2 linked regions of the Arabidopsis thaliana genome follow. The gene in region 2 interacts genetically with the main gene of each other region. Each region holds a gene or a part of one and is shown on either strand. Other genes may lie near its edges.

Evidence for each region.
Region 1: of ETL1 (region 2) and DML1, changing one suppresses a phenotype caused by changing the other (phenotypic suppression), as found in Arabidopsis thaliana (one study listed by BioGRID).

What each region holds. Positions count from the first base shown.
Region 1 is NC_003071.7:15,303,100-15,320,191, forward strand, and holds DML1 (demeter-like 1), read right to left. Parts: upstream 11,709-17,092; 5' UTR 11,499-11,708; intron 11,257-11,498; 5' UTR 11,174-11,256; coding exon 11,040-11,173; intron 10,957-11,039; coding exon 10,841-10,956; intron 10,739-10,840; coding exon 9,608-10,738; intron 9,515-9,607; coding exon 9,143-9,514; intron 9,038-9,142; coding exon 8,947-9,037; intron 8,854-8,946; coding exon 7,956-8,853; intron 7,882-7,955; coding exon 7,802-7,881; intron 7,680-7,801; coding exon 7,595-7,679; intron 7,518-7,594; coding exon 7,426-7,517; intron 7,350-7,425; coding exon 7,281-7,349; intron 7,192-7,280; coding exon 7,155-7,191; intron 7,071-7,154; coding exon 6,988-7,070; intron 6,830-6,987; coding exon 6,404-6,829; intron 6,202-6,403; coding exon 6,165-6,201; intron 6,074-6,164; coding exon 6,016-6,073; intron 5,943-6,015; coding exon 5,803-5,942; intron 5,724-5,802; coding exon 5,658-5,723; intron 5,577-5,657; coding exon 5,462-5,576; intron 5,377-5,461; and 5 more. Other genes in the region: AT2G36480 (pre-mRNA cleavage complex 2 Pcf11-like protein), read right to left, coding at 15-29, 160-1,710, 1,798-2,235, 2,311-2,433, 2,722-2,979, 3,068-3,169, 4,032-4,436; AT2G36500 (CBS / octicosapeptide/Phox/Bemp1 (PB1) domains-containing protein), read left to right, coding at 15,374-16,984. UniProt on the Arabidopsis thaliana protein: Bifunctional DNA glycosylase/lyase, which excises 5-methylcytosine (5-meC) and 5-hydroxymethylcytosine (5-hmeC), leaving an apyrimidinic (AP) site that is subsequently incised by the lyase activity.
Region 2 is NC_003071.7:515,279-530,644, forward strand, and holds ETL1 (SNF2 domain-containing protein / helicase domain-containing protein), read left to right. Parts: upstream 1-7,944; 5' UTR 7,945-8,202; coding exon 8,203-8,787; intron 8,788-8,983; coding exon 8,984-9,101; intron 9,102-9,181; coding exon 9,182-9,222; intron 9,223-9,306; coding exon 9,307-9,557; intron 9,558-9,626; coding exon 9,627-9,807; intron 9,808-9,916; coding exon 9,917-10,102; intron 10,103-10,187; coding exon 10,188-10,361; intron 10,362-10,443; coding exon 10,444-10,602; intron 10,603-10,693; coding exon 10,694-10,771; intron 10,772-10,868; coding exon 10,869-11,005; intron 11,006-11,095; coding exon 11,096-11,314; intron 11,315-11,443; coding exon 11,444-11,606; 3' UTR 11,607-11,790; downstream 11,791-15,366. Other genes in the region: IDD4 (indeterminate(ID)-domain 4), read right to left, coding at 3,050-4,013, 4,986-5,382, 5,703-5,892; LCR69 (low-molecular-weight cysteine-rich 69), read left to right, coding at 13,119-13,182, 13,438-13,607; AT2G02103 (Ta11-like non-LTR retrotransposon), read right to left, coding at 15,147-15,366. UniProt on the Arabidopsis thaliana protein: DNA helicase that possesses intrinsic ATP-dependent nucleosome-remodeling activity and is both required for DNA repair and heterochromatin organization.

The sequences.
Region 1 (17,092 bases), about 15 Mb from region 2:
TCTTTATATGGAGGCTACTCAACAATTTCCTAGCAAAATAGGAACCGAACGAGAAACAAACACGTAAAGGTGGATTCATGCAGGATTAAAGAACAAAGTTTGAGATCAGAGAGCCCTAGAATGACCAAAAGTCGCAAATTGACTAGAGCTACAAGTTACCTGCTTGATTGCAATTCCAACTTCCAAGCTCTGCAATGAACTCGTGGTCAGACAACCTGTATGGACGATAGGACCACTGGCCTCACTGTTGGCTGGAGGATTGGTCAGGTAAGAAGCTCCCTTGAACATCCATTGAGCCATTTCTTGACTGAAATAATCCTCAAATACTTCTCCACATAATATACATGCGCATTGGGTCTCATCAGCAGCTACGGCTTGACAATCCTCAATAGCACTCTCAGGTTCACTCAGAACTTCTTCATATTCAGGTTCTAACTCTCCCGCTTTTGCTGCTATCCAGTTATCAACCTTTGGAAACCAAACCCTACATTTACTGTTTGTGCCACTTAACTCGAGCTTCTTCTTATCATGCAGCTCCATGTGCCTATCAAGTTCTTCCTTTTGTTTAAGGCGAACGCTGCAGGAGGTGCAGAGATGGGGAAGGTCATCGAATAGACTACTAATGACCGAAGGGTGAAGTTCACGGATTTTGTCCGCCCTAAACTTCAATCCTATGAGGTCCTTGGGTTCAGATTTTGATGTTTCAGATGGTGCAGCTAACCCTTTTACCTTAGGGGCAGTAGATGGCCCCTTCACCAAAACAGATGGCTGAGCATCTGCTGGAACCACAGATACAGACATAGAGCTATTGGTGGAATGATCAGGACTGTGTTCCTGCGTTATGGAAGGAGCCGATGGCAGCTCTGTCTTCGAAGCAGATATCAAGCCCTTCGAAACTAAAGAGCTTAAGAGGCATGAAAGAGGATCTGAGGCCTTACTTTTCTCTTTTGACGTTTGTACTGAGGTGATGCCAGTAAGAGACGCTGCACATGAGACAAGTGGTGCGGAGGATTGTTCAACTTTTAAACGAGCTAATAAATTGTCAGTAGCCAATGAAATTGGCAAAGTCTTAGGCTTAGAGGCTGCTGGCAGGGTTAGTGCCCCCGGGTTGACCTCATCATGACTTTCCTCCTTGATCGCACCACATGTTGAATTATTAGAAAGGATTCCACTCTTCATGACAGCTTCTAGCAAATCACTCATGTTGGGTTGTCCTGTAGCTTCTGAGGCAAGAGTAAGGCCTGGGGCATTTTCAGCTGCTGACTTAGAGTCAAAGATTTCCACTGGTAGTTCACGCATATTTGTGTTTTTAAACTGACTACTTGAAGATGGGAGCCGTACAGAGTCATCCCTGGGAACATTTTGTTTTGCTGGAAACCGGGAAGCCCTAGGATCACGTTGGGGGAGTGAGTGAGCTCTTCTAACATCTTGCTTGGTCACATTCTGTTTAGAAGTTGAATCATGTAAAGGCGATTGTCTATCTGACCCAGATCCTGAGCTTGGCAAAATTCCAGAGCTTGCAACCCTTGGTTGAGGCTGAATTCCCTTTCTAGTTGCAGTCGAGGTTGCATTGGTAGAAGAAAACGCCCAGTGCCCAATACTACTTGGATCTTTTTGCTCGCTGGAATATGAATTTGTTGAATTCGCTGGGTCAAACCTTGGGTCGAGAGCTGAAAACCTTGGTCGTTTTAAGAGGTGGTTTTCAGATTCCTACAAGATGGGAGATGGTTAAAAGCTAACAAATTAAAATGAGATACATCACAATAAAAAGGAATGCAAATTACTATCATAGCTTACCAGTCTCTCTGATTCATCTGGTGCATGAAGCTCGTTCTTTGGGTTGATAGTGGCTACATCAGTTTCGGATAACCTTGAGTGCATATCCCACATAAACTCTTCTTCCTCAGAGTTTTTCCAACTATCATAAGGCACACCTATATTTCTACTGGGACCACTTGATTCCAAATTTTCTACTCTAGCCGTAGCATAGTTGGAAGTTCTGCTTTTGGAATGTAACCCATCCCTTTGGTCAGAAATCAGATCAGGATCCCTGTTCGTAGCTCCGTACCATTGTTTCTCACATCCGTCATCAGTAATCCTTGAACCAACATTCTTAATCACCGATCTAGAGTTATGTGGTAGATCAGAAGCATAATCATATTCCCCTGCTATTGACTCGATATCTTTCTCGTAGAGGGGCTCACTAAGTAAATCTCTTTGAGGTCGCCGAATGTTCTGAATTCGACACACAATCAGTGGAAAGCACTTAGGTAAAAAAACTGTAACCATGCCAAGGAAAAATCATCTTACATTTACTTTAGCTGGACCTACCCACGAGCCTCCAGATGCTATGCTTGAAACTCTCTCCAGTCTATCTGAATCCCTAGTCAAATTGGGTGCGGTCTCTGGGACATCAGTAACCATTCCTTTTGTCTGCAAAGAAAACCGACAAATACTCAGGGAAATTTTAATAAAGTCGATAAGTAGCCTCTACCTATATCCAGAAACCCAGGACCCTTTGAAAGAAATTGATTGCTATCTAAACCGAAAAAGAAATGTTCCCTACATTTGTGAACACTTAGAACAGAGAAATGTTTAGTACTCCTGAAGGTTACATTTATGAACACTTAGAACAGCGAAATCTCTAGTAGAGCTGAAGGTTAGGGTGTATCATCACTAATAACTTTCAGTGGCTGCAAGTTTACTTTGGTCATTGCTTACCCGTCCCGACTGCTGAAGGCGCTGCCTTTCTAGATACTTGGGATTCACATGGATGCTATGTGGTGGGCGCTGAGATTGCGGCTCAGCTCTGGCTGTGGATACAACAGCTGCTGAACCATCACTTTTAGCATTAAAGCCAAGTTCTTTCTCAATAAGCTGAAGTGTTTGCGGATGAAAGACTCCTTTCCAGGTTCCAAAAAGATGCCGCATGTTAGAATGCATAGGAGGGTCAACTTGCCTGTAAGCCTTAACAAAAACCTTCAGAGAAGTAAAAAGAGGGTGATCAGAGATGAATTTGCTAGGAAAAAAACATTCTATAACCATGACTATCAACAAAGCACCAAACCTCAGGCAGCCTGGCACCAAAGTACTTAATGTAATCCCTTCCGATGTTCTTCACAATGCTGTCTAACAGGTACAGTGTTGGCAGCTTCTGATCACTTGGTACCTGCATGATATTCTTCAAATCAGATAACCCAGAAGAAAAAAGGCCAATTTGATCTCATAGAGAGTAACATCGAGATTTCCACATGAGCCTCTAAAGGTAATGAAAGAAATCAATAACTTAAAGTAGAATCAAAAGCACAGACCAAGATGACATTCAAGCTAATACTAACACATATTCTGACAACTAGAAATCCAACAATAGACACAGATAACCATTAGACGATGTAAACAACACTGCAATAGCAATTCTTGTCTTCACTCTCCACACAGACTTGATGGATCAGGCTCCTTCTATTGAGTGCTTCCTTGCTACCCAAAGACTGAATAAAAGTTGACTTGGCTTTGTGGAGAGCATGCGGTAAGCAGAAACCGCCAACAGAAAATCCAACCTCAATAAAAACAGAGCTTATGAAAGCCCTTGCTAAATGGTAAAGTGAGATACAAAAAACTCTAACGCTGATAAAGAGACTACACACTCATATAACCAAAACTCAGTACAATCACATGATGAGCTGATATATGCATTCTTGATATATGAACATGAACAAAATGGTTGCATGGGCAACAGCTATTTTTTAGATTGTTAACAACATTGTGTCAGTACTATGAACTTTGTTTCAAAGAAATGATTTGCGACTTGATGAAGAAATATAAAAACACATAGATCCCAGAAAAGGATACTAGGGTTGATTCAAAAAACTCAATTTCTCATTGAACCTCGTATACAGATAACACAAATCTCAACCACCACCTTTTACCTTATTCCCCTTATATCGTACAATTATTATTACTCAAACAAGAATTTGAGAACTAAAGCACGGATTATAACAACAAAACAGTGGGCATGAAAACTGGGTGTTCACCTCGAGGATGTTGTTGCAAATGGCGGTTACGACGGCTTTAGCAGCATGAACATTCTCTCCAGCAATTATTGTAAGGTTCGTTATTATCGGCTTCGAGTTGAAAGTGAGCTCAGCCAGTGCAGACTTGTACTGATTCACAAGCTCATAATGTGGATGAACCGGCTGTGGCTGGTAAGCCTCTCGGCTCGGATCACTGACAATACTACTCTCAGTTTCTCTACCACTAACTCGAAACCTTGACGAAGCAGGTGGCACTGTCACCGCCGTAGCCGTACCAAGCGTTCTCTGCGACAAAAACTGCCGCGCGTTGGAATTAACAGGCCGGATTGATTCCTCGCTGAGCCTGGGTTTCTTCATCGGACCTGGATCTCTGGATCTATCAAACGGTCTACGAGGATTCTCCATTCCAAAGAACTATACAATACAAGAGGTACGCAAATAATGCCCTAAATTAAACCTAATCGGCAAAAATCGATTGCAGTGACAACAAATCCTCGTTAGAGGGGAATTCAGAGCATTACAACAATCAGTAACCCTAAGTTACAATCTAAAAATTGAGATGCATAACGCGATTCTGCGAAGAAGACGGAGAAGATAGAAGGAATGCTTCGAATTCGGCAAAAATGTCAGAGAGTTTGGACAATCTCCGATCAATTAGGGTTGTGAATTGGGGATTTTATGGAGACGAGACAAAAAAAAGTTGAAGATCGGAGCTGGTTCCAAAAATATTTAGGCCCATTTAATGACCCACATTCCATGTATAATAGGCCCATCATCTAATATTTGACAACAATAGAATTCTTTGGTCCGGTTGAACTATCTGATTTAAACCAAGTTAAGTGAGATCCTCCACATATCGAACCAGATCTTGATTCAGGTAACCAAAAGCTAACCGTAAATTCAGATATAAACCAAACGAAGGGAACAGAGAGTTTACACAGCTACGGGTCTGTTTTTTGTGACAAGTGTTTGATACAAATTTAAGACGAAACTAAAATGGGATTTAGAAACCTTGTACAACTCTAGGACTGTTAACTTTACGTTTTCACTTTCTTACATTAACTAGATTGGAACAGTGTGCTCTCTCACTCTTAACCATAAGCTTGTATTTGTTTGCTTGCCAACGGATTAGGCGAGGTTAGCTTGTTGTCCCTTCAGTTTGCTCGCCGGGAAGTGCAATCTTGCAATCAAAGGCTTCGGTCCCCTCGTCTTTCGATCAAATCCACGTACACATACGTACCCTACATAATATCAAAAGATAAGTTATGTTTCAGAACAAGAAGAAACTGCTTAATACAAAATGTACCTTTCCAAAAGCAAGCCTGTATCTTCTCAGTTGATAAACCTGAGAAAAATAGAGCTCAAGTGGTTAGAACAACTTTCTTTTATATAAACAATCGCATCACAATCCAATAAAGAAAATCTTATACCTTTGAATATCGTAGGAACAGAGGTACCAAAATAGACCGTTCTTCGAGGTAATTCCCATATCAATTCCCTTGGGACATTGATTGGGTTTAGGCTGGATGCATGATCCGCAAACACCTGTATCAATAGAATACATCACAAGTTTCAATGCAAATAATTAAAATGAAAGAGTTGGAGTTATTGGAGTTCAAGTCTTACCTCATTTACTTGAAAGTACGTTCCATTTAGAGGAAAACTACCCCTCATCGCTGTTCTACAAGGAATCTGTACAATTTACAACATATTAATCTGTAGAAAACATAAGTGTAGTAAGCCGCATAAGGAGATTGATGCAACTACTTACCAAAATTGTCCCTCTCACAATTTGAGATCTAGTCTCCTTGATGCTGTTGCAGGAGAAACAAGTCTCCTCGTCACAAAGCATACCATTTGCTTGGAATATGCACGTACTAACAGACGGTTGAATAGAATCAGCCGTCTCACCTGTTGAATAACACATCGATTAAAGATACCGATTTGATTTCATGATTAAAAGATATGCAAATCATTAAATTACCTGGCGTCCATATAGCAAGCAAATAAGAACATGGATCATCAGGTTCTCTCTTTTCCAACTGCCACAAGAAATCACAAACAGCTAGTCAGATTTTACAATATAGACAGCACTCTATACGGCATGTGTCCTTATCCAGTTAGCTCACATACCTGAGCTAGAAGAGGATGCTCGTCTGGAAGTTCGTAACTGCAAGATACGGGAAAAGAAACAAGTTATGGCATAGCCTGTAATTATTGGGAAGTTTGTCTGCTTTCCAACTTACGAGTTCATGCTTGGTCAATCACTTAAATATTCTACTCTGTTCAAGCTTTAATAATTTTGAAAAATGTGTTTCTGATTTCATTTTTAACCTAAGAACGAAGAAAAACAGAGAAAAATGGATTCTTACACTCGGTGTTCTGTCCTTAACTGGCTGATATTCTTGAGCTTAGGCATTGGAAGAGAAGCAGTTTCAGCAGTAAGTGCAACTAAAGCGCTGGACATGTTTCCGTCTTGAAGTTCCTTGTTGTGTTCCATTATCTTCTTCAAGTTACTGGTAAATGCATCCATGTTTAGCCTGATGGTAGGAATTTCTTCTGGATCCTCAAAAAACGCCTCCTCTATGTCAGCTATTGATACTTCTGCGGTTTCTGGCTCCGGTGAAGCAGGCTCTTCGATGATTGGTTCACAACATGTGACCTTTTTTGCTGGTTCTGAGTGCTGTACTACTTCAGACCCTTGCTCTCTCTGGAATGGCTCTGGCAGGTGTAGAGGCAAAGGGTTTTTATCAGGTGTCCCCATACCTTTCTCTGTACTTGGTAAAGCAAGCCTTGCACTGTAAAACAAATGAATGTTACTAAATTTTCTGTAATGATGATTCAGAGCTTCGTTTAGATACAGACCAATTCTCATTTAACTGGGTTATATTTTAACAAGGACTTTCCTCATAGAGTCATAGTGGTACTAAAGGTTTAAGAGAACATGTTGTAGCACCTTGCAAACGCACTGGCAAAATGTCTGCATTCTCCTTTCATCGGACATGCATTGCAATTAGGTTTGCTCTTTGTGCAAAAGACCTGATACAATAATCAAGCAGATTACAAACCTCATCATGTGAGCTGATTTTGACATACGTATATATGTATTTCTTTAATACATACCTTTCCAAAAGTAATCATCTGGTAGTGCAACTCATACCTGTGAGATAATAGGGTATTAAACTAATGAATAAGTGTATTAGACTGAGGCATGAAAAAAAAAAAGTTAGTGATAAACATCATTCTTACAATGTTTTTTGGTCGAGTTTGCAGAGACGGGGCCAAAGATACTTTTGAATAGATTCAAGCATAGGATACCTAGACAAACCAAACCTCAGATGTATTAAGTAACAAATTACAATTTCCAAGTAGGACCATTTTGAAAAGTGCTTACATTTCCAGAAGATGCAACTGAAGTGACTCTGGGAGCGGCTGAAGGGGCACCCATCCAAGTCTGACGGCTATGCGCCCAACATTTGTATCAACCTGTCAATAAATTAAGTTCATGCATCATATAATTCACTTTTTATAGGGACAGAAACAAAAGTTTGATCCTTGCTTACTGGAAAGGCAAGATGGTGAAGTGTTAGAAGCCGCACACACTCCACACTTTTCAGTCCCAATCCGTTAAAGCTCAGAAGATATTCTCTGCAGGGTTTTGTAATATACGAGAGTACATAATTCATTATTAAGTCACTAAAACTGCCAAAGTAGTAATCTTTGTATAGGTTAATAAAGAAGAAATAAAATGCTTCGTCTTTCAAACTTACTTTGCTTTATCTGGTGGAACATCTCTCAACCATTCAAGATCGATACTTCCATGGTCATTTACCAGTCGATCAAGGAAGCCCTGCATGATTTTCATGTTCAGAGTCAAATACTTAAAATGAATGTTATCACGAAATTTAGCCACTAAATTTTTACCTGTATACGTTCTGCAAGTTTATGGTTCATCCCGCGACTCTTGATTGTTTCAGCAACTTCCTTAACATCTGCTGCTCGTATTGCCTTCCAATCCACGGTGTCCATTGTACTTCTTGTTTTTTCTCTAATTCCTGCTCTAGCTTGGGCTTCTCTTCTTAAACAATCCCAGTCAAACGCTTTTTTTTCCTCCTTCAAAACCTTTTTCCCTTTTTCTTTTAAGGTAGGTTTCTGACAACTCAAAACATCCCCATCTTGCTGAGAGCAACAACCAGGTTCACTACTATCAACAGAGGATTTTGTGGGCTCTTTCATTGACTGGAAACCCTTAATTTCTGAGCTACAATCACCCGGAGACATATTTGGTGATACTTGATTGGAATCTTCTAGAGAGACTTGTACCCCCTGTAGGAGCTTCATAAAGGAAGTACGATACTCTCCTTCTAAGTCGATCTCTGAGCTTGATCCTGCTCTCTCTGTATTTTGAGGAGCATCAGACACCATCGAATGTTGACATGTAAGTGCAGAATCTTCAGATGGAAACAGGTTCAGGACACGACACTTCTCATCCGTCTTATCAACCTCTACACTTGAGCCTTTTCGATCTGAATCAACATACTCCTTTGAATCCGTGGTTTTGTCAACTGATTCATGGGCTGAGATGGCAATCTCACTACTGCTTCTGGAGGTTTCATTGCTAGGTACATAATCCTTCTCCTCATCAGGCTGTGTATTTTTCAAAGTAACAGAACTGTGATTGTGATCGGGTGGGCTTGACATCGTTTCCTCTGAGTCCAAGTACGTTATTTGAATAGAAGGCATCGAGCTTGTTCCAGCGTCAAAGTTACTGCTCGGTACAAAAGGGACAGGGAACTGGGAAGCCAACGACATGAAAGCCGAACTACAAGGAGTAAAAAACATCAAAGCAAGTTAGTTTTGTGACTTTTTGCTGTCTTGGATTTAGTTTGACATAGAATTATGTAAGAGCTTGTACCTTGAGAGATGGTCTGAAACATTTTGAGTGAGAAATACTCCAACAACAGAATCCACGACGGATCCCTTCCAAGGCGTAAAACGTCGATCCCCTGTTAGAAACCAAAGACCATAACAAGAAGCAGTAGCTGAGACATACTAATTGAAACCATGTGGTTAGAACAGAAACACATAAAAGGACAAGTGTGGTGTATAACCTTGTACAAGGTGCATCCTTGCAATAAATGAGTCAGCTCGTCCTCGAAACACATTACGTTCTTCCTCCCACCATTTCGCCTTCTGCTCGTCTGATCCGTCAACACCTTCGCTATTAATATTCTCCAATAGCAGTTTCCACACTCTGTCTGTCTCATCGTCTAGATCAACCTTTGGTCGTGGGCGTGGTTTTTTAACAGGAGTTACAGGCACAATTGCTCCAGCGCCACCACCAAAGAGTACAATCTGGCTATTCATTGTGTAAGGAACGAGAGCAGTTTCAGAATGCTCCCTGTTGATGTCTAATAGACGCAATAGCTCACTGATTGTTTCGATCGAGTTACGTCGTTTCCAAAGTTCATCTGGAGAAAGACCTGCAGGAATCAAACATCATCATTATCAAGAAATAGTCTGCATTTAACAGATTCAAAAAAACAAAGAAATATAGTTCTGTATCTATTCATTACCAGTAAATGAAGGTGGAAAACGGCAAAGATTCGGAAGAAGATTTTTCTGTTTGGTTTGTGATTTCTCAGACTTGGTTGGCTTCTTTTTGCTCACAGTCACCCGCGTATCAACAAGAATCTTATTATTTTGCTGTGGCTTGCTACAATATCCTGAGGTTAAATGCTCAGGAACTTCCACAAGTTTATTCATTGAAGACAAATTCCGGAATCGAGCATGGCCTGTTGTTTTCTTCTTGATCGGCGTGTCTATCTTATCCGAGAGAACATTTAGCTCAGACTCTTGCCTTCCTTGAAAGATACCTTCTCGTCTTTCTTCAACGGTTAGGACTCTATTAGCACTGAGCTGAGATGTGGAACTGTAGCACGTAGCGTGAAAGGCAGAAACATAATTGTGCTGTTGTCCAGAGAATACTTTGCTGCAAATGGCATCATATCTCATCCCTCCCTGTTGCAAGTTTGGGGAATACAACCAATGCATTTTCTGGTAGTCACATTGCTCATCATACTGAATCCCTGATAGATTCATGTCGCAACAAGTTGGTCCTTGTCTTCTCTTTGCAGCTTGCGCCATCGAAATATCGACTTCTTCTAGATTACTGCCATTTTTCTTTGGTTGAACTCCCTTTCTTTTACCTTGGCTGCGCTTTCTCTTGGGCGTGCTAGGAGCCGAAAGAAGGCAATCTTTTAACTCTTGATTCCCAGAATCTAACTGCTTCTCTTGAAGAGCTGATTCCATCTCACCTGCTTCTCTAATGTCACCGTTGGTCTGGTTTTCTCCATTTTCGGCTTCAAAATCCAAGACTCGTCTACAGAGCCTCTTAGGACGAGTTGAAGTTTCAACAGCTGCTGATGATTCAACCGGAGTAGCGTCTTGATCCTTACTGACTTCAACCTTCTTCCGCACATATTTCCTCTTTGGTGTTTTGCTTTCTTGACCATCGGTGACAACAGACTTCCTCGGAGCTCGTGGTTTAGGCTCCCTCTTGGGTTTAGCTTCTCTACGAACCTTTGGCCGATGCTTCTTCCTCTTAGGTTTTTCAGGAGTCTTGAGGATCTGTTCAGCAACATTGTTACTCACTGAGCTCAAACTCTCCACTTCTTCAGTACCTTTTTGCATAACCTCTGTGTTTCCTACATTGAGAATCACATCTTTCTCAGTCCAACTCAAACAGAATCAAAATTTGACAAAGCGATTTCATTTCTCATGAGACCAGAATCAAAATCCCCTCTTACTTGTAGGTATTGGAGTCTGACCAGAGAATATGAGGGATGCAGTGTTAGCTAGAGCAAGCAAATCCCCAAAAGACAAGTGATCAAGACCACTCATATCCTTGTTCCCAACAAATCTCCTGCATGCATCAATACCTTACTTAACCAATTACCCATCACTACTCTTTGAAATTTCTCAACTTTAGAACAAAAAAGCACAAACCTTTCCTCCAATTGACTGCTATGATATTGATCCTCCACCGTGTATGGGCAGATCGGTGAAAATGGCTTCATGGGTGTCTGAGGAATCCATGGAGGTTGTTGAAAGCTGCTTTCTTCTCTCCTCTGTTTCTCCATTTCTGACTCTATTTTTACTTTTCTTCACTCTTACTTAAATCAGAACCATTTGAGAAAAAGCTTGGAACTTTCTATTTTTTCCACTGCAAAAAGTTCAATAATTTCTTCAATAAAAGAGATCACCAATTTTTTTTAAAAATCACGATTTTATAAAATGATCAGATCCACTTTTTTCTGGGGTTTTAGAGAAAGAGAGATCTCCGGAAGTCATTGATTTTGGGTGAGTGGCGACATGAACGATTAATCCGTTCGTTAGGTGAAAGAGAGACTTTTTAGATTCACAACAAAATGTAAAAAAAAGTAAGAAAAAAACAAAATTCATTACCAGTAGAATCAATGGTTATGGTGGTGATGGAGAGAGTTAGTTCGGTGGTAGCTATGAGAGGATAAGATCACTGATGCTTCGTTTCTTCTCTTGGAATCGATGAAGTTAAAGAGTAATATAGAAAAAGCTTTTTTGGCCTAACGTATAAAGAAGAGGATATAACATGTGTTGTTGTGTGTTTCACTATTTTTCATAACCGTTTGTTTATGTAGGGCGAAAGTTCGTTTGGTTGGCGGGAAAAGTTTTACGGAATTTTATTTTAAAAATAATGATTCTTTTCTACAAAATCTCCTAGACTATGGGAAAGATGATTTAAAAAGTTAATAATATTGTCGTTGTTATCGTCATCGTCATCATCGTCTTTTCTGTTATCTTTTTCTCTTTAAAATTTCGTATTTTTTCTCGTTTACGTAACTATTTAAAATTATATGAACTAACTAATTTTATAATTAATAGAAATTATAAAATAATCTTAATTTTGCTTTAGATATAAAATAATTAGAACTTTATTTATAAATTTATCATCAAATTATGATTTAAACAAATAACATGTTATGTAATCCACGTTTATAATTTTGATCAATAATATATTATTTTGCTAATTTTTACGTAATCTCATAAATTTACACGTTTTCGTTTACATATGCAGAAGTTAAATGATTCGTTTTAGAATTATTATTTTCCACTGATATGGGAGCTAGTGTAGTAGAGTGATTATTAGGCTAGTTGCCCAACGAGTCTTTCGTTTTTGATCATTCCAAATGTTTTAGTCTAGTACGATAGGAGTCAAAATACTGCACCATATGTGTGAAACTGTGAATGTGTGTGAAAAAAAGAGTAATTAGTGTGCTAACCTTTGATTTCCTGTCATGCAAGAAACCTTCAAAGAGACGTACATGAGAAATGAGTATTGTAAATCATTTATTTCATGGACTTGGTTGGAATCTTAGTGAATCGTTGTTGTCAATCTTAACAACTTGTTGGATTGGTTATGAGCCTATGACTTATGACTTATGAGTGAGTCAATGGTGGTCATAACCTAATGATTGGGTTATGAGCAAAGAAATTTGGAATTTGTAAAAAAAAAAAAAAAAATCAAGAGCTTTTTTGTGTGGACATATCTATCCTAGAAACTGAGACGAATAATAGTGGATAAAAAGTTGGGAACGGATTATTCGAATGTTTAAAACTATTATTGAAAACAATACAACTAAATATGGTACAAAAGTAAACGAATTCGTATAGCTAAACCTAATTCAAATTACGAAGCTAATCCATACTTGGATCCTAAACGCTTTTACTTTTACTTACGGTTTCTTTTTCAAAAAAGTTTTTACAAATTTGGGTTTGTCTTATGAAGATTATGGCAGAAGAGACTGATCAAAAGTGAATGCCTAATTCGGTTTAATCCATTCAAGTTTATCTTAAACAATGAAACTGACCATGAAAGTGAATTCAAAGACCAAATCAAAGAAAAATTAAACTGATTTAGTTGTAATATTGGTATTGAATTAAACTATAAATAGAAATAACCAAACATATAACCACAAAAGAAGACTATTTATATAAATATATGAGTTGGAAGTCATTTTTGGACTATTATATAAGATCTAATTATCACACGACGTGTGGATGTATGGTTAGCAGAGTTGTGTTCAGAGAGTTCGATAAAGCCATCACTCCAAACATACAAAATATCCATACATTGATCCACCAATATAACCGGCTGTGTGCCAAGCAAAGTGAAGCTTAGGCCTAACTAGGGTTCTCAAAAGTTCAAAATATAAAAAATATTTTGGCGTCGACCTTAAAGTCCTTGCTTCATCGACTATAGTCTAAAGCCGGCATGCCTAAAAACCTCATATAAATCGTCGCTTGTTACTCGATCATACTCTGTAACTATAAATATCCTGATCTTAATTATAACTTGAAATACTACTAATCTACGAATCTATCATGTAACCTGTTTACTAGTTTTTATTTAATATAATCAAGGAGATAGGTCACTTGAAAACAAAGACGCCACGCTTGTATCTCAATCCATACTTCTATTTTTTGTCTTATGATATGGTATCATTCACGTAGTTTATATATTAAAAAAAAAAAAATATCATTCCCATAGTTCTTAGTTCTTTGTTTTATTCATAATTTTATAATATTGGCCTTCCCAAAAATTTGGGTAAGGTCTTGGACATTACAAAGATCCAACATATACAAAAATAAATAATCAAAAAAATCTTTGTATGACTGGAGATAATGATCGGATCTTGCTGAAGACCGGAAACAGAGAATCAGAGCAATAGTACCAGCGGATACAAGACCCACGACTTCGCTGATTTGTTTTCTCATAACATGTTTGTGATTATTTTCTGATTTAAGCGTCGAAAGATTTTTTTATCCCATAAGGTCAATCCTCTCAAGCGGTGGCAGGAGATTCCCGTTTCACGCACTGTGTGAGACGTGTGAATGACATAGCTCTCGCTTACCATCCACGTCTCATGTATCAGATTCATTCAACTCTTTTACTCATTCACCATGCATGAAAAGTATAAATTACATTGAATTTTAGCAAAGCACTTAATTCTTATCTTATTATAATCCTATTTTACATGCACACGTTATAATGTTATGATATTATAATACATTTTGTATCGACATGATATTATCCATATAAACAATGGTGAAACTTAACTCAAAGAGACAAATACCATATTGTGATTTCATGCAAACTGAGATAGTGCCAAGTGGAAGCCAAGTGCCATCTTTCGATCTTAAACATGTCACATAGAAGAAGACTACAATAACCCACTTAATAAGTATAAACTTTATTTATTAATGCATGACTTTTTCAACTGTTCCTTTCCCCATGCAATATTGATCTATCTTTTGGATCATTGTTTATAAAAGTTCACTTAGAACATTCATTCTAGAAAGTATATAAGTCGATTCTTTTGATGAACAAACTCCAACGAGAAAGGTTCTTTATATATACTCCTAATAATGGTGATAACGTAGAATATACATATTGTTTACGCCAATTCGCCAAACAATTCACTCCTTAAAATGACCTCTGATAAATAAAATCGACTAATATAAACCTTATCTACTAATGACACCAACTAATAACACCCATTTAGGGTAATCCTCATTTATTAAACATAGCTTACTACCTAACAACAATAACAGAATTATTGTTCTATTAATCTTCTTTTTTAATTTTGGGTTGAGTGATAGAAACCAACCACCAGACACGTTGTTAAGGAGGATGATGATAACGATTTTTAAAAAAATAAAACAGAAAATAGAAAAAAACTCAAAAGGAGAAAAAAAGAACAGATAGCGAAAGAAAAGTCTTATTTCTGGAATCAAATCCTTGTGAGTTTTCTTAAGATCAAAACATATAAATTTGTGATTTTGATTATTGGGTTTTGCTCATAGAAGACGAAACAGAAAGAAACATTCGTAAACAACACCAATACACCAACCCATACAATCTAAATTACATTAACATCAGAGAAAGTTTCAAACTTTTCCAAATCTTCAACGCCATTGAAATAGCATCTCACAGGTTAGATTCTTTCATTTAGATATGAATCAGATTTCTGAAAATTTGTTGGATTCGTGAATTCTCATTGTCTTCATGTCCATTATCGATACCCTGAATTTGTCTGAATCTCCAATATCTAAGATAAGTAATGTATGTCCTTATCTTACTGAATTTGCATGTTCTGTTTTTTTGTTTGATCTGTTTTGTTGTTTGATTATCTCTTTTCTGAAGATGTAAAGAGATTATGGATCAAATGATTGTTCTTCTTGTGTTTGCTTAAGAAGTATATGTGGTTTTGTAGATTGATGAGTCATTAAAGACCGTCAATATGACGACTACTCCAACTTCATCTGGGAGAAGAAGCATTTCAAGTATAAGGAGAACATCATCAGCTTCTAAGAAACCTGTTCTTCAATCAGAAGAGAGCGAAAGCGGAAGCGGAAGCATTAACGAGAACACCTCCAAACCTGATTCACCTCTTGCTCAACCGGTTTCTGATGGCGAGAGAACAGTCAAGAAGCTACGGTTATCCAAAGCTCTCACTATTAATGAGGGAACCACTGTCTTTGATGCTTGTCGAAGGATGGCTGCTAGGCGTGTTGATGCGGTTTTGTTAACTGATTCAAGCGCTCTTCTTTCCGGTATTGTTACAGACAAAGATATAGCCACGAGGGTGATTGCAGAAGGGTTGAGACCAGAGCATACTCTGGTGTCTAAAGTCATGACAAGGAATCCCATTTTTGTCACATCTGATTCACTTGCCATTGAGGCTCTTCAGAAGATGGTTCAGGGAAAGTTCAGGCACTTGCCTGTTGTAGAGAATGGTGAAGTCATTGCTTTGTTGGATATCACAAAGTGTCTCTATGATGCTATCTCACGGATGGAAAAAGCTGCAGAGCAAGGAAGTGCTTTAGCTACTGCAGTGGAAGAACGGCATTGGGGAAGTGGAAACTTCGCTTTCATTGATACATTGAGAGAGAGGATGTTCAAGCCTGCATTGTCAACTATAGTCACTGAGAATACCAAAGTTGCACTTGTATCAGCATCAGATCCTGTCTTTGTAGCTTCCAAAAAGATGCGTGATTTGCGGGTTAACTCTGTGATCATCGCGGTTGGGAACAAGATTCATGGGATTTTAACTTCAAAGGACATTCTCATGAGAGTTGTAGCACAGAATCTATCTCCTGAGCTGACTCTTGTTGAAAAGGTAATGACGCCAAATCCTGAATGTGCATCAATAGAGACAACAATCCTCGATGCATTGCATATAATGCATGATGGGAAGTTCTTGCATCTGCCGGTTTTCGATAAAGACGGATTCGCCGTAGCTTGTTTAGACGTGCTGCAGATAACTCACGCAGCTATATCAACGGTTGAGAACAACAGCTCAGGAGCTGTTAACGATATGGCGAATACAATGATGCAAAAGTTCTGGGACTCAGCTCTTGCGTTAGAACCACCTGAGGATTACGAAACACACAGCGATATGTCAGCAATGCTGATAAATTCAGAAGGGAAGCAGTCGTGTCCATCACAAGGACTTGTGAGCTCGTTTGCTTTCAAATTCGAAGATCGTAAAGGGAGAGTACAGCGGTTTAACTCAACTGGTGAGAGTTTTGAAGAGCTGATGAGTGTTGTGATGCAAAGATGTGAAGCGGATTCAGGCCTTCAGATAATGTACCAAGATGATGAAGGTGATAAAGTTTTGATTAGTAGGGACAGTGATCTTGTTGCTGCTGTAACTTTTGCTAGGTCTTTGGGGCAAAAGGTTTTGCGACTACATCTTGATTTTACCGAGACAATTGCTCCTCTTGAGACGATTGCAGATTTGTCCGAGGGAAATGGCGGTTGTGTTTGGTGGCAGACTGGCGTCTTGGCTGGTGCTATTGTCCTAACGAGCATAGGTTTATTTGTTTACTTAAAACGTTCCAAGAAATGATATGTTGAATGGGAACTTAATTGTATTACACTGTTACTTTGTCTTTTTATTCGATTCACATTGCAAAGCAATAATAAAACTTGTTACCAAAACATACTTGTTCCTGTT
Region 2 (15,366 bases):
CAGTAAGGAAAAATCAATTCCCTTCTCTTTGCTCCAACTTGTTATTATACAACATAAATATTTCTTTGATTTTGACATTCGCTATGTATCTTCACTCACAATCAATATATCTAGCTAGATATAGAGTATAATTATTTAGTTATTATGTATATGAATATTCAATTACAACATGATATTAGATAATATGAAGATGTTGGATGCTTGTGTTTGGACTATGCTTCGTATTGGAATATATCCGATACGATTGGCGTATTATTGTCTTCAAATATGCTCATATATATATATATATCGTATTTGCATGAGCAACGTGGGATGTGTAATCTAGTTTTATGAATTAAATTTAGTATCTATGACATGGTACGTATGCATATATACATATACTATACAATTAAAATATTCAAGTGGATGTTTTATTTTCGTTCATAATACATGTAGCGAGAAAAGCACGATTTTTTATTTTCAAATAATAAATTCAATTATTTTAAATACCGGACATCATATAGTATACGGTTACGGTACCACTTGAACAGATTAGACCCATCTAATTAATCCTAGTTATATTTTAGTCGTTCCTTATACATATATTTTAAATATATAAACTTTTTTAATCACATATGACCAAAACAAAATATAGTTCCAAACAAAAAATATCTCCCTCAACAAATAATAACTAGTTTGAATTTGGGTGGTAACATAGCAACGATAGATACTAAATAAATTATATTATGTTATATTTTTTGCTTCATATACTTTTTATATTCACTTTTTATAATTGATTTTTTAATTTTTAATTAACATAGGTCATTATTGATTTAAATTTTGTATTATTTTCTAAATGATATAATTCATATAGTTATATCAATATTGTAAAAGTGATGCAAACTGATATAGATTTAAAATTGATGTCACATGCACAAATTCATAATGATATCAATTATTGTAACTGATTAAATTATAATTTTGTATTGATTATAAATAAATAATTTAAATGAGTATTATGTACTTTTTGAAGCTAATTAATTGATGGAACTATTAGTAACATCTATAAGTTATTAAACAATTGAAATATAAAATATTTCATTAGTTTACACATAAATAAATTAAAATAAAAAAATATTTAGACATATATTTTATAGGGATTTTAATGAAAAGAACCCTCAAGTATCGGTAGATCCATTTTATACCTTCAACTATATTAATAATGAAAAAGCCTTAACTAAGAGATTTAAATGACAAAAACCTTTAAGTACTAATCAGTCTATTTAAAACTTCTAAATTATTAACAACACAAACCCACAATTATTTACGGATATATATTAGACTCCATAAGTAAATATCTCTTAGCCAAAAAAACTCATTCGTCTATAGTATTGTCACAATCCTAAATGACCGTTATCAAAGAAATATTATTAAATTTTGAGTATTTCAAAGATGTGTATAGTTTTTTAGACATAAATTGTTTTAAAATAGCATTAAAACGTCGTGATACAATAGAATGCAAAACAAAAACGATGAATTAATATAATTAAGATATCGGGTCAGATTGGTAATAGTGGTTGCTTTGCATTTTTTGATGTAGAAATATGATTGTAGGTATTTTGGCTATAGAATTTAAAATTTTAGAAAGACTAAAAAATTGTGCTTTAGAAAGAGAGGTTTTCTATAGCAAAAAAAATAAATCATGTAAATATTTTGAATGTGAGAAAAAGTCAAATCTTCTAAAACTTGATTGGTTCTATTTCAAAGCTTTAGATTTTTTTTTTCTTTGTAAAGACTCTAAAGCACTTGCCAATTATGCCCATCGCATTATATATTGCGTAAAACAATGAAAATAAACAAATTCATGTAAAAAATTAGAAACTAAATCTATTTAAAATAAAATATAAGCATGACGGTTACACGATCTTAGAATTATAAATGAAGGGTTTTTTTATTATAATTTTGTACTTAAATGTTATTTTCATTAATAGTTTAGGTAGAGTTTTATATGGACCGACTATTAAATGAGAGATTTTTTCATTAAAATTTTTTAGTTGAGGGGTTTTTCTATTAAAAAGTAAGTTCAGGGTTTTAAAATAGATTAATCTTGATGGTTTATGATCAATTATTAGTGGTTTATGATCAGAATATATTTGTTAACATGTCCTCTAATCATATCAGATTCATTTAGTCTCGGTGGAAAGCCGAATTTGATTTATCTGAATATTCAAACATGAAAAATTAGAGAGCTAGCTTTCGAAACTTAAAACACTTTTGTTGGAACACCATTTTAGATTATATGGTAGTAAATTTTAGATTAAGAGATTGTGGGATGTAACTATGATATCTTCTGTCCCGTTACGGACCAGAGCGGGATCGGAGACGATTAATCACAATGATCTGCTGTACCTTCGATTTTGGGAGTGTTTCTATCCCATCAACATCGGTATATGAGAACATGGACTTCATATTATGGTGTCAACCGAAGCATGACGGTTCAGAACAATAGACAGAGACATTCCTTTGGATTTTTTAGTATTTGGATAGTTACAAACGATAAAATATTCCAGGTAGTTATTGGAACAACTAGACATGTTAAAATATGCTTTAAGTGAACCAAAACATGGATTTAACCTCACATCATGTTGAAACATCCCGTTGAGAGGGTTGTTTTTAAAAACACAGCATAGATTGCCTATGGTCAGATTTGTGTGTATTCTTCCTAAACTGAGATGTGTAATCCCAAGTTTCTACTATTTTTTAACCATTCAACCCCATTTCTTCGTTCTTTATCCACTTCGTTTAGTTCCACCCTCTTCATTCGAAACCATAATATTTATCATTCTCTCGGTTATAAACAACACCACATAAAATCATATTGGAGTTGTAAGTCAGTACAATAGCTAGCAAACTTACAATCTTTTTTATTATATAAAAGACAGACTCTAACCAAATCCAAACCTAAAAAGCTCTCACTAAAGATATACTATTATTATATAGTGATTATGAAAACAACAAGCGAAGATAACAAAATTATCACCTAATTAAGTTATACAATAATAAGATATTATCAACCTCTTCCAAATGGATAATTTTGCTCAGGAAACTTCGCCTCACCATCCAAAGAAACTCCGCCACGAGCACTGCCGCGACCACCACCACCACCACCGCGATTTACATTTCTCACCATTCCTCCAACTCCAAGAAAATCTAACGTTAACTTGTCCGAGCCGCTCATATTTCCATTGTCTCCAAATTGAACGTCGAAGATACTGCCACCGGATCCGCCACCTCCATTAACGGCGGCTAATGAGTTCATTAGACCTTGAAGGTTTCCATTATTATCATTCTCCATAATTCGTCCTCCACCAAAGTGATTAGCGATAACACTTGATGAGTTAGACGAAGAAGCTAAGCCTCTGAACAAAGCAGATGGGTCGTTGCTTGTGACTGAACCCATTTGTGTAGCTTTCTGAAGTAGTGCCGTGGCTGACACGTTAGAACCCGCGTTCAAGTTTTCTTCACGGTGATGAACAAGAACGTCGGTGCTATATAGAGAAGGAAGACTCGTCTCTGAGTTCTTCGTGTTTTCTTGAAAGAATCCGAGGTTGAAGAAGCTGTTGTTGGTGCCGCTACTCTTGAGGTTGATGTTGTCGACTGGATCAAACTGTATCAGACCATGCTGGTTCATGAAACTCTGGTTATTGTTGTTTGGCGTTGTATTCAACATTCCTTGGCTCGAAGCGCTTTGGATTAGGAAGTTAGGGTTTGATGATTGCGGAATAAAGTCTCTCCTATTATCAGAAGATGCAATGTTCAGATTGTAACCCACGAGAGGGTTAAATCCAAAATTTGGATGGTCACTCAAATGGTGGTGTGAGAGAGCACTGCCACCGCCAAGTCTCCCGTAGATTCCGCCGGAGCCGACACCACTACTAGCAGCTGTCATTGACGTAAAGCTCACGGTAGGGTTTCTTGCAGTCTCTTGTATCAATGCATCGCAGAAAGCCCTATGCGTGATGTAACTATCACGTCTACAAAGCAAAACAAAAAGAAATGTAAATAACACAACGGTCGATAATAAAGTTATTAATTCATATATATGAAAACTTTATACTATATTTATTCCGTGAGTCATAATCAATAAATGCTATAGTTATTGTGGCTACCATTTAAAGGAGAGAATGAAAGAAGAATATAGAGGTCGAGTCAATTGCTAATTTAGTGAAAGACCTTCTTCATTTAATGCAAAACCCATGAATGTTAATATAAGTCAGTCACATTCTGCAACAACGTATATTACTCAAACCATGAAAATATAGAAAGAAACCCTAGAAGAGCATTAAAGTGTTCACCAGAACACTGTAATAAATATAAGTAACGCACTCTTACCAAATATGTATGTATCTATGTACGTATATATAAACATACATAGAGAGAGAAAGAGATAAGAAGAGGGTCCACAAATGAAGAGGAGTTTCGTAAAAAGGGGAACCTGCAAAGTGAAGAAGAAGAAAACAAAAGTAGAAAATAGAAAAACAAAATCCAACTCATGCATGTGAGTATGTGACCAAATTTAGCATCTTTTAAATTTTCTTACTTTCTATTCACTGTCTTTCTCTATTCACTACTCATCAACAACCAAACAAATACATTGATAGATCCTATGTACATTGTGACTACATACAATTTATAGGCGGTGTACTCGAGGTTCAAATTCCGTGGCCAAATATACAATATTTCAGTCACAGATGGTTATATATATTTGGTATTTTCCATGTAAATTAGTAAATAAGCTAAGTTTTACATGCAGTGTTGAATGCAGCTTTTACTTAGAATAGTTTTGCATTATAATACAAAATAAAGGTGGTCCATTAATTGTTATACTTTACCAAGATAAGAAGGTATATCTAGATGCCACACACACTGACACATATATTATACGTTTCATCACTTAAATCAAATACGAACAAATTATTTAAATGAAATGGATAGAGATTAGTTACCTAGAGAAGATGGTACCACAGTCACATCGATACTCTTTAGTACCACAAGTCTTAGAGTGAGCTTTCCAATCTGATTGAACAGCGTAACGCTTAGAACATTTCTCACATTTCCACTTCTTTTCGCCATGTTTACGGTAATAATGCTTCTTGATTCCGGTGAGGTCTCCGAGAGCACGTGACGGGTCATGGTGAACGCACGTTGGCTCCGGACAAAGATACACTTTCCTCTTCACTTCTTTGGTTGATTTTTGTTTCAGCTTCCATGGGAGATTGTGTCCTCTTCGGTGAAGCTGTAGATTTTGTTCTCTTTGAAACCCTTTGTTACATACATCGCATATGAATCTGTTTGTAGCCATTAGTGTCTTTGGAGATAATGCTACCACTTCCGCATCAGGATCTGTTTCATATAATTAAAGAATTTAATCATTTAAATTAAGTCACCAATTAGACCCAAAATGTCAATCTATGTAGACTATATCGAAAAAAATGATACACACACATGTAAACATAAATCAAATGACATATACACGTATAAACATATAAGATATACTGGCCTGTCAATATATATGAAATCTTGATACTAGCTAGATATACAAAACAAAATAGAACAAATGATTAGGGTTCTTTTTCTTCTTGGTATTATCTTAAAGCTTATATATAGTGATTCTTATAGAAAGGTGATAAATATATAGAGATTTATATGTAAGAGATACTTGCTTGGGTTTCCGGGTTGGTTTCTTCGTTTCTTGGGTGGTGGAGCTGAGGAGTTAGGTTGTTGAATCATTGACATAAAAGTATCTTTCCGGTTAAAGTCGTTATCTCCGGTGCCGGAGCTGGTGATGAAGAAAGGCTGAGCAGAGGATGATGATGAAGGAATAACGCTTGTGTTATATGATGATGACGACATCTTTAGATCTTCTTCTTTGCGTGGAAGAGAATAATCTACAAATAATTCGTAAGACAAAAAAGTTAAGAAGAAAACGAAGGGAGGAATTATAAGAACAGGAAAAATCCATAGAGATTGACGACATGAAGAAATTTTATAAAAACCATTTCACTAGAAGACATAAACAAAGAAAAACAAATTAAGAGTTTATACTTTTGTTTTTTGTTCCTAAACTTTTGAAAGAATTAAGAGGAAAGATTTCTAAGTTGTATTTTTCTTGTACCTGAGATCAAGAGAAAGAAACCAAGTAGAAGAAGGAAAAAAAATAGTCAAAATTAAAAGCTATAAATCGGAGCTAAAGAAAGAACCAAGAAGAAGATGATGCATGATGATGATGATGAGATAGAAGATGATGATGAAGAAGAAGACACTATTCCTATATATTATGTATTATAATACAAACACAAACCTCAAAGCCCTATCTCTCTCTATCTCTATATCTCTTTCTCTCTCTACTGTTTTGTGTTCTTCTTCTTTTAAAAATAAGCCATATATGAAATGATCTTGAAAAGTATGTCTCTAAGGTCCCCTCTCTGTCTCTATCATTTTATTTTATTTCGATTAATATAAAATAAAGCTACTTTTTTTCTTTCTTATAATTTAATTTGACAGAATTAAGAAGGATGGTTACGGTTTGGGTGTCACTGTTAAAACGGTGAAATGTGTCCACATGCGGGGGTGTGTTGTGGGTACCACATTTTTCTCATTCGTATCTTTCTGGTGAGCTTTAAGACAAAACCCTCGTTTTCTCTTCATTTAACTTGATTAGGTTTTGTTGTACTAACTTTTTTTTAATTGTTTTTATCTAATAAAATCGTTTATAATATAACATATCGTATATTAATACACATGATACACCAATCAATAGAGAATTTTTTAAAATTTGTTAGATTCTTGTATGAAAATTAATATATTGCTTTTCTTCTTTGGTTCAATTCTTCAACCTTTCAGAATGTTCAATGCAAAACAATCGAACCGATTGGTTTTGAATCAAACCTAATTAATCCTGAACGAGTAACCAACTCTCAACCGATCTGAATAGATTTTAAAACGATATATCACAAAATCTCCAATATCACTTTAAGAGCTTTGAGAAAATATTATTGATATATTATTATTCGACCGTAAAGTTTGATTTTCTCCTTTTCACTTGGGCTTTTTAATCTTATACAATTTAGTTTTATTTTAGTTTACAAACGACAACATATTTAAGTAACAGGTGACTTCTCAACTTGATCCTCTCTTCATTACCATCGATGCTTTTTAAGTTATACTGAGATCGTACCAACTGCAATGGGTCAGTGCCGGGCCATATTCAATCAGGGCCTCCCTGATTGGGTTGTAATATGATTTCAAGTTAGTAATATGAAATAGCACACAGTCACGCACACAAAAGAGCCTATATAAGGAGAGATATACCACAAACAGCCCAAGACCCAGTTGTTTTAGATGAACCAAAATTGTATGGAAATATTTAGTATTTGAAACTGCCGTCACCAAGATGGCAAGGTCAGAGAAACTCAATAACAACTCTGTTTCTGCCATTCCGAGAGTTAATATTAATTTTCAGAGTTAATGGATTAGCTAGTAAACATATATATACAAATGATAATAACCTGTAGAATGAGGATTAAGATCGAGAACGACGAGGTTATCTTTACCGCAACATTCCAAACGTAGCCAAAGCTCTATTACCATACCCCTCAATGTACATATCCAGCTTATAAGACTCCTATCCAGTATCCACCATCCAACGAAACACACTCTCAGATTCTTCCACATTATGAATACATGTCAACCAAATAATTTCTCACCTCAACCATCATTTCAAAACCAAATCTTCAAGCAAACCCCATGGATTTAAAAACCCTTTTCAAGTGCGTCAAACAAACCACAAGCTTTTAGATTTGTCGAGAAAGTGAAGTCGTTGGGCCCATTTCTTCGGATCCCTTAAGTTCACCATTAAGTACTCATTAGAGCCCATTTCTTGGGGCCCATTAAGAGATTAAGTCCGCGCGCATAGCTTTTGGAGGATGCCGCTCTTTTGTAAGAAGCAACACGTTGTTGAGTCTCTAACCTTTCTTTGAAATCTTGACCTTTCCCTTCCTTCTCCGCTAAATTCGTTTTAATTTCATCTTCTTCTTCTTCTTCAATTCGATGCAATAATAGTCACTTCAATCTCAATCTAGGGTTTTCAATTTTCTTCATGTGAATTTTTTTTCCCCTTCTTCTCAATTTCAATTCAATCTGGGATTCGTAAATTCTCGGAAGATGAAACGCGATTTCGACGAAATCTCCGAGGAAGAGTGGTCTCAACACTCGTTTAACGCTTCGCGAGTTCTTAAACGACCACGGACTCCGAAGAAGACTCGCGCGGCGACGAATCCAACGCCGTCGATTGAGTCTTTTGCGTTTAGGAGACCTTCGACGGCGATGACGATTGAGAGTAATAGCAGCGATGGTGATTGTGTTGAGATTGAGGATTTGGGAGATTCGGATTCGGATGTGAAGATTGTGAATGGTGAGGATTTGTTGTTAGAGGATGAAGAAGAAGTGGAAGAGACTAAGGTTGTGATGCGCGCTGCGAGAGTTGGTAGGAGATTTGTGATTGAAGATGAAGAAGCGAGTGATGATGATGATGATGAGGCTGAGAGTAGTGCTAGTGAGGATGAATTTGGAGGAGGAGGAGGAGGAAGTGGAGGAAGGAGAGGAGAAGATGAAGATGTTGTGGGGAAGGCATTGCAAAAGTGTGCTAAAATCTCAGCGGATCTTCGAAAAGAGCTTTATGGTACTTCTTCTGGTGTTACTGATAGATACTCTGAAGTTGAAACTTCTACTGTCAGGATTGTCACACAGGTACTGGAAATTATCACTTTGGTGTTCTTAAAGTAGTTGCTTTGAGACGATTTAGAGTGTCTTCCTTATACAATTGTGAAGTAACTTTTGATTAGATAGCATATTTTGGTGGTAAGCTTTGATTGGTTTGGTTAGAGTTTACTGTTTTGTTAACTAAAACTTGTTTACTTTTGGGTTGAATCTGTGATGATCGCAGAATGATATTGATGATGCATGTAAAGCAGAGGATTCTGATTTTCAGCCTATACTCAAGCCGTACCAGTTAGTTGGTGTTAACTTTCTTCTTCTGTTGTATAAGAAAGGAATTGAAGGAGGTATGTGTTTTTACTAGTTTCGATCTGTAAACCTTTTTAGCGTGAATGTCACTTTGTAACTCACTTTCTATTGTTTGTAGCCATTTTAGCCGATGAGATGGGTCTTGGAAAGACCATTCAGGTGCATTTTGCTCTGTTATTACTGGATAAGTTTTCTTTGTTTCTTTATCTTATAAAGAACTAATTTTGTTCTCATTTACCTTAGGCAATCACATATTTAACCCTCCTAAGTCGCTTAAACAATGACCCTGGTCCTCATTTGGTTGTATGCCCTGCCTCTGTCTTGGAAAACTGGGAGAGAGAGCTCAGAAAATGGTGTCCGTCGTTTACTGTACTTCAATACCACGGAGCTGCGAGAGCAGCCTACTCAAGAGAATTGAATTCTTTGTCAAAAGCTGGGAAGCCACCACCATTCAATGTGCTTCTTGTGTGTTACTCTCTGTTTGAACGGCATAGGTGCAACTCTTGATGCTTTTATTTGCTTTTTGGCTTTTCCTGTTACTCACAGATGTTGGAATTTTACAGTGAACAACAGAAAGATGACCGAAAAGTACTGAAACGGTGGCGCTGGAGCTGTGTTTTGATGGATGAAGCCCATGCGTTAAAGGATAAGAATAGTTATAGGTGGAAAAACTTGATGTCTGTGGCCAGAAACGCAAACCAGCGTCTTATGCTTACAGGAACGCCTCTACAAAATGATTTGCATGTACGGTTGGTTTCTGTTGATTTTTTCAGGATCTAATTACCTAATATAGACGACATTTCTTCATGTGGTCATACAATGCTTATTCCCTGCATATGTTTGGTCTATGCAGGAACTATGGTCGCTGTTGGAGTTCATGTTGCCTGATATATTTACGACAGAGAATGTTGACTTGAAGAAGTTGTTGAATGCAGAAGATACTGAGTTGATTACTCGAATGAAATCTATCTTAGGTCCTTTCATCTTGAGGCGTTTAAAATCTGATGTCATGCAGCAACTTGTTCCGAAGATACAGCGGGTATGGATATATCTATGCACAATTAAGTACACGATATTAATCTTCTAGCTGCAAATCTCATTAATTTCCCATCAATCCAATGCAGGTTGAATATGTATTAATGGAGAGAAAGCAGGAAGATGCATATAAAGAAGCCATAGAGGAGTATCGTGCTGCTTCTCAAGCACGGCTTGTGAAGCTTTCATCAAAATCCTTGAATTCTTTAGCCAAGGCACTTCCAAAGCGTCAAATTTCAAACTATTTTACTCAATTCCGGAAGGTAATTCTCAGCTACTAATACAAAGCCCCTTTTGTGCCAAATGAGTGTGTTATTCATGTGTTATTAAATTTTGGTTGTACAGATTGCAAACCATCCATTGTTAATTAGGCGGATATACAGCGATGAGGATGTCATTCGCATCGCCAGGAAATTGCACCCAATCGGTGCATTTGGATTTGAATGTTCCTTGGATAGAGTTATCGAGGAAGTTAAGGGTTTCAACGATTTCCGTATCCACCAGGTAAATGTTTCTCTTTCCAAAAGCAGTTGAATATCCATTAACAAACATGTTATGCAATTGAAGAAGCTAACTAACTTGTTTCTTTCCATAGCTTTTGTTCCAATATGGAGTTAACGATACCAAAGGAACTCTCTCAGACAAACATGTCATGCTCTCAGCAAAATGTCGGGTACGTGATATTCTTCTTCATTTCATAAGTCTTCTTTGTGAAACTGATTAAGTATAACTAAACCTGTGAGCGATCTAAATCTCCCTTTATGTATCAGACATTAGCTGAGCTTCTCCCTTCAATGAAGAAATCCGGCCATCGTGTTCTAATATTTAGTCAATGGACATCGATGCTCGATATCTTAGAATGGACACTTGATGTCATCGGCGTTACATACCGAAGACTTGACGGCAGGTAATAAAAGAAAAAAGAGTAATTTGTCACATTTTTGACGATTCTACAAAAAGGAAGAAGCTTAAGTCATTTTCCTTTTGTTTTCAACAGTACTCAAGTTACAGATAGACAAACCATAGTCGACACATTCAACAACGATAAGTCGATATTCGCATGTCTCTTGTCAACTCGAGCAGGTGGACAAGGTCTTAATTTAACCGGAGCGGATACAGTCATTATTCACGATATGGATTTTAATCCACAGATTGATCGGCAAGCTGAAGATCGTTGCCATCGTATTGGTCAAACAAAACCAGTCACTATCTTCAGGTTTGAGCTTTAAATCCTTGAATCAGTTTAGATAACTTTCAGAACAAAATTGTGGTTTGGATTGGTTTATGTGTGCTCTGTTTTGTATTCTCACATATATCTGTATTAACTCTGGCAATGCTGGTGCAGACTGGTGACGAAATCGACGGTTGATGAGAACATCTACGAGATAGCGAAGCGGAAACTAGTTCTTGATGCGGCGGTTCTAGAGTCCGGAGTTCACGTAGATGACAACGGAGACACGCCTGAGAAAACCATGGGAGAGATTCTTGCTTCTCTTCTCATGGGATAACATTATTGTTACCTTTTTTGTTTTGAGGTAAAATTAGTCAAGAAACGAAGTTAATGTGTTATTCTAAACATGTGTAACCACTAGCTATTATTAGACTTAAATTTAATAGATCACGATAGTTATATTTTCTTCTACGCATGTAAATTATAACCCAAAAATTTCCTTCTTTAGACCTAAAAGTCACAATTGTTCCAAACACTAAAATGTGGATCAGTGATCAAATGAAGTGAACCTTCAGGATAGTTTAGTCTTCGATCATCAAAGATTGTATAAAGGAGTGACTTAGCTGTATTTGTAGGTATCAAAATTGAAAACCTCACGCAATGATTAAAGGTCTCAAGTATCTTTATTCGTCAGAGTTGTATAAGACACAAATCTCACTAGATTGTTTTCCCATTGTCTTTGCCGAAACCTAACAATGAACAACTAGTTCTATTAGGATTGGTTCAAGAATGTCACATAGTATAAGTTTTTCTTAGCTGAAAAATTCTAGATAACTTGGAATAAATTCTAGATAGTCTTTTTTTTTTGCTACATTTGAAGATAAATATCTATGAAAATGTTCAAATTCATGATTATATTATTGCGATTAAATAATTGAATATGACTATACAAAATAATTCACTAGTAAATCAAAGCCATACTAAGTTTGGATTCTTTGTGGTAACTGCCATTGCCAAGTCACGTTTTGAAGGTGTTCTCATGGTCAATTTACACTTAAAATTGAACCTGAAAACTAAGGCCAACCGGAAACTTGTTGAATTGTGTGAAGTGAGAAAATGATAATCGTGTATAACTTATAAAGTCACATGATAAAGAGAAAGCAACCAGCTTTTTGTCTGCCATAACAGTTCTTTAAAATATAGCCACAATTATACTACTTAATTTAGAGTAACTAATCCCAAATATTACTTATCTAAGTAATAATTAGAAAAGTATTCGATATTTATTATCAATTGCGTTTTAACTTGCTATATAAATACAAAGTTTAATTTTTATATAACCCACTAACTTTTTCATTTTGGTATATGATAAAAATACTCTATCCCGTGACTATTCCACTTGTTGTTACTTTTTAGTTTTTTTTTTACATAGCCATTATCATTGTGGACTCCACAACATCCGCAAACTCAATTATTTACTTTTCTATACGTTTATTTGTTTTTTTCTGATACAAAATTTGGTGCATGAATGACTTCTCGAAACGGTAGATGGACTCCACAACATCTGCGTGTCTTGTCACCTTACGTTACGGACCACAATTTACACCTATGAAAGTGTCGGTAAAGCAAATAAAATCGAGAAACTCACACCACTCTTATTCAAATCCAAAGTGAATACTCCAAAAATAAAGTAAATGATATTTATCCAAAAATATCTAACAAACGCGTAAAATGTGAATTATCTTGAACGTTTTAATACCTCTTTACTCTCTTTATATAGTGCCATTTTCCTCACTAGCAGCAACACACTTGAACACTACTTTCGAACTCTCTCTTTATCTCTCTTGCAATGAAGCTCTCTATGCGTTTGATCTCAGCTGTTCTCATCATGTTCATGATATTCGTCGCCACTGGTTTGTTTCTCATAACCTAATATCTAATTTTCACACATAACCCATGTTTTATGATAACATATTTTAACATATATAGATAGTTTCATTTTTTATAACATTCTGTATTTATGGTTTCTATCGATTATTCTTGTGAATGCTCATTTAATTATAGTTAAGTTCACTTCGAAAGTTAAGTAATATGCATCAAGCATGAGACACATGAAACTAAGCTATGGTCTAAACGAAGTGTTCGTTTTGTGTTTTGATTTTGTCTAGGGATGGGACCAGTCACTGTGGAGGCACGCACTTGTGAGTCGCAGAGCCATAGGTTCAAGGGTACATGCGTGAGTGCATCAAACTGCGCCAACGTGTGCCACAACGAAGGCTTTGTCGGAGGTAACTGCCGTGGATTCCGTCGTCGTTGCTTCTGCACCAGACATTGCTGATCTACCCATTCTCATGCATAATTCAAGCTTTGATCCATCGTCGTGTGTCACTTCTTTCTTATCTAATCTTCCGTACAGTACCATGAAGTACCGTACATTAGTGTGTTCTCAAATAAGTCTTTGGATTTGTGTGTTTCCGGTTTAAATGTAATGTTAAATCAACTAATGACTTTGAGCCTTTGACTAGTAATAATCAAAATCTATGTTCTGATAACAAAGCTATTTTCCTTCGAAAATTATTTAACGCATCACTTCATGTCTCACCTTGAAGAGATCAACTATGATGAAACTTAAAAAAAAAATGAACATCAATCTTGTTATCTTGAAATGCGTTTTTTTTTTGTTGGCATTGAAAGAGTTTGTTTGCGATGGCATGGACTTTTCCGACGTGTGGGACAGTATCAATAATATGACCGAAGATAAAACATTTCCAAAGAGACTGATTATCCTCTAAATATCGGTATAACATACCAAAATTTACTTTTTGGATGTAATTGGTGGAGTAATAAATTAAAGTAGCGAGGAAAGAATAAAGAGGGAAAAAAATACGTGTGTATTTTTCTTTTTCTTTTCTATATATAAATACCAAATAGAAAATAAAAATTTAGTTTTTTTTTGCATCAGTGAGTATATAAAATACCATATATTAAGTTTATACAACCAGTAATGTTTTAATTTTATTTTTTTTGCCAACTTGGATTATATTGATATAGGATTAGATTAGGATTACAACATGACTTGAGTGAAGCCACCAAAAAATAGTCTCAAATGGAGACTCTGCTAGAATAGCATCAACACCGAGGGGATAAAGGATACCACTAGGGTCCTATATATACATAAATGGTTCTAATCAAAAGCACAAACAAACACAACACGATAATCATCAAGAAGAGAACAACACTCTCTCATCAATAAAGAGGATAAGCCGGAAAACTAGAAACCACATAAGATTGTAGTCCACAATCCATGGTAACACTTTGGACAATAAATTGATCAGCTCCTCTATTTGCAACACCTATGTTACATTTCTAACGAAAGACACTAAACCAAGCTCTCTTCTCAATCTTAATGAAAAACACTAGATGAGAAAAAGGGTCCTATGTCCAGAAAAAGAGAATTTTTAAAAATTATTGAAACTTTAAAAAATAGGGTCTGATTGGTAAATAAAAGCTGTATAAGTTTTCTAACTGTTAGTTGGAGTTGTTAGCTTTATTGAAATAGTACAAAACTGTTAAAAGAAGCTGTACAAAAAAGTTATAAAAAAAATTAAAATAAAATTTTTTATAACATTTTTAATAAAACTTTTATGATTGATAACTATTACAACTGTACAAACTGTACCGCTATTATAGTAGTTACTATTTTTTTTCACTGAAAAGTTGCCTTCCATTTCAAATTCCACTGTGAAGTTACAAAAAGTTTAACCAGTGGACTTTCCACTTACAAGTCTTAGGCAAACTGAAAATGAAAAAACATTGCTGAAGTAAAGAAAAAACAAACTGAAGCATTACAACAAAACAGAACATTAGAAAGAGTATGTCATAACCAAAAACCATACCCTACTAAGCAGGCTTCTTCGTCTTGAAGCTGTGATGCTTCTAGTCCTGCAATCTTTCCCAAAAAATGACAGAAAACGATCGAGTGGTTTAGCGTTTTTTTTGGAGGTTTCAGAATCCCTCCAGAGCGTTGAACATGATCAAAATGAGTTGGAGACCTCATCCTTTCAGTAGGACGTCTTGGTTCCCTGTTTTCATTTTGT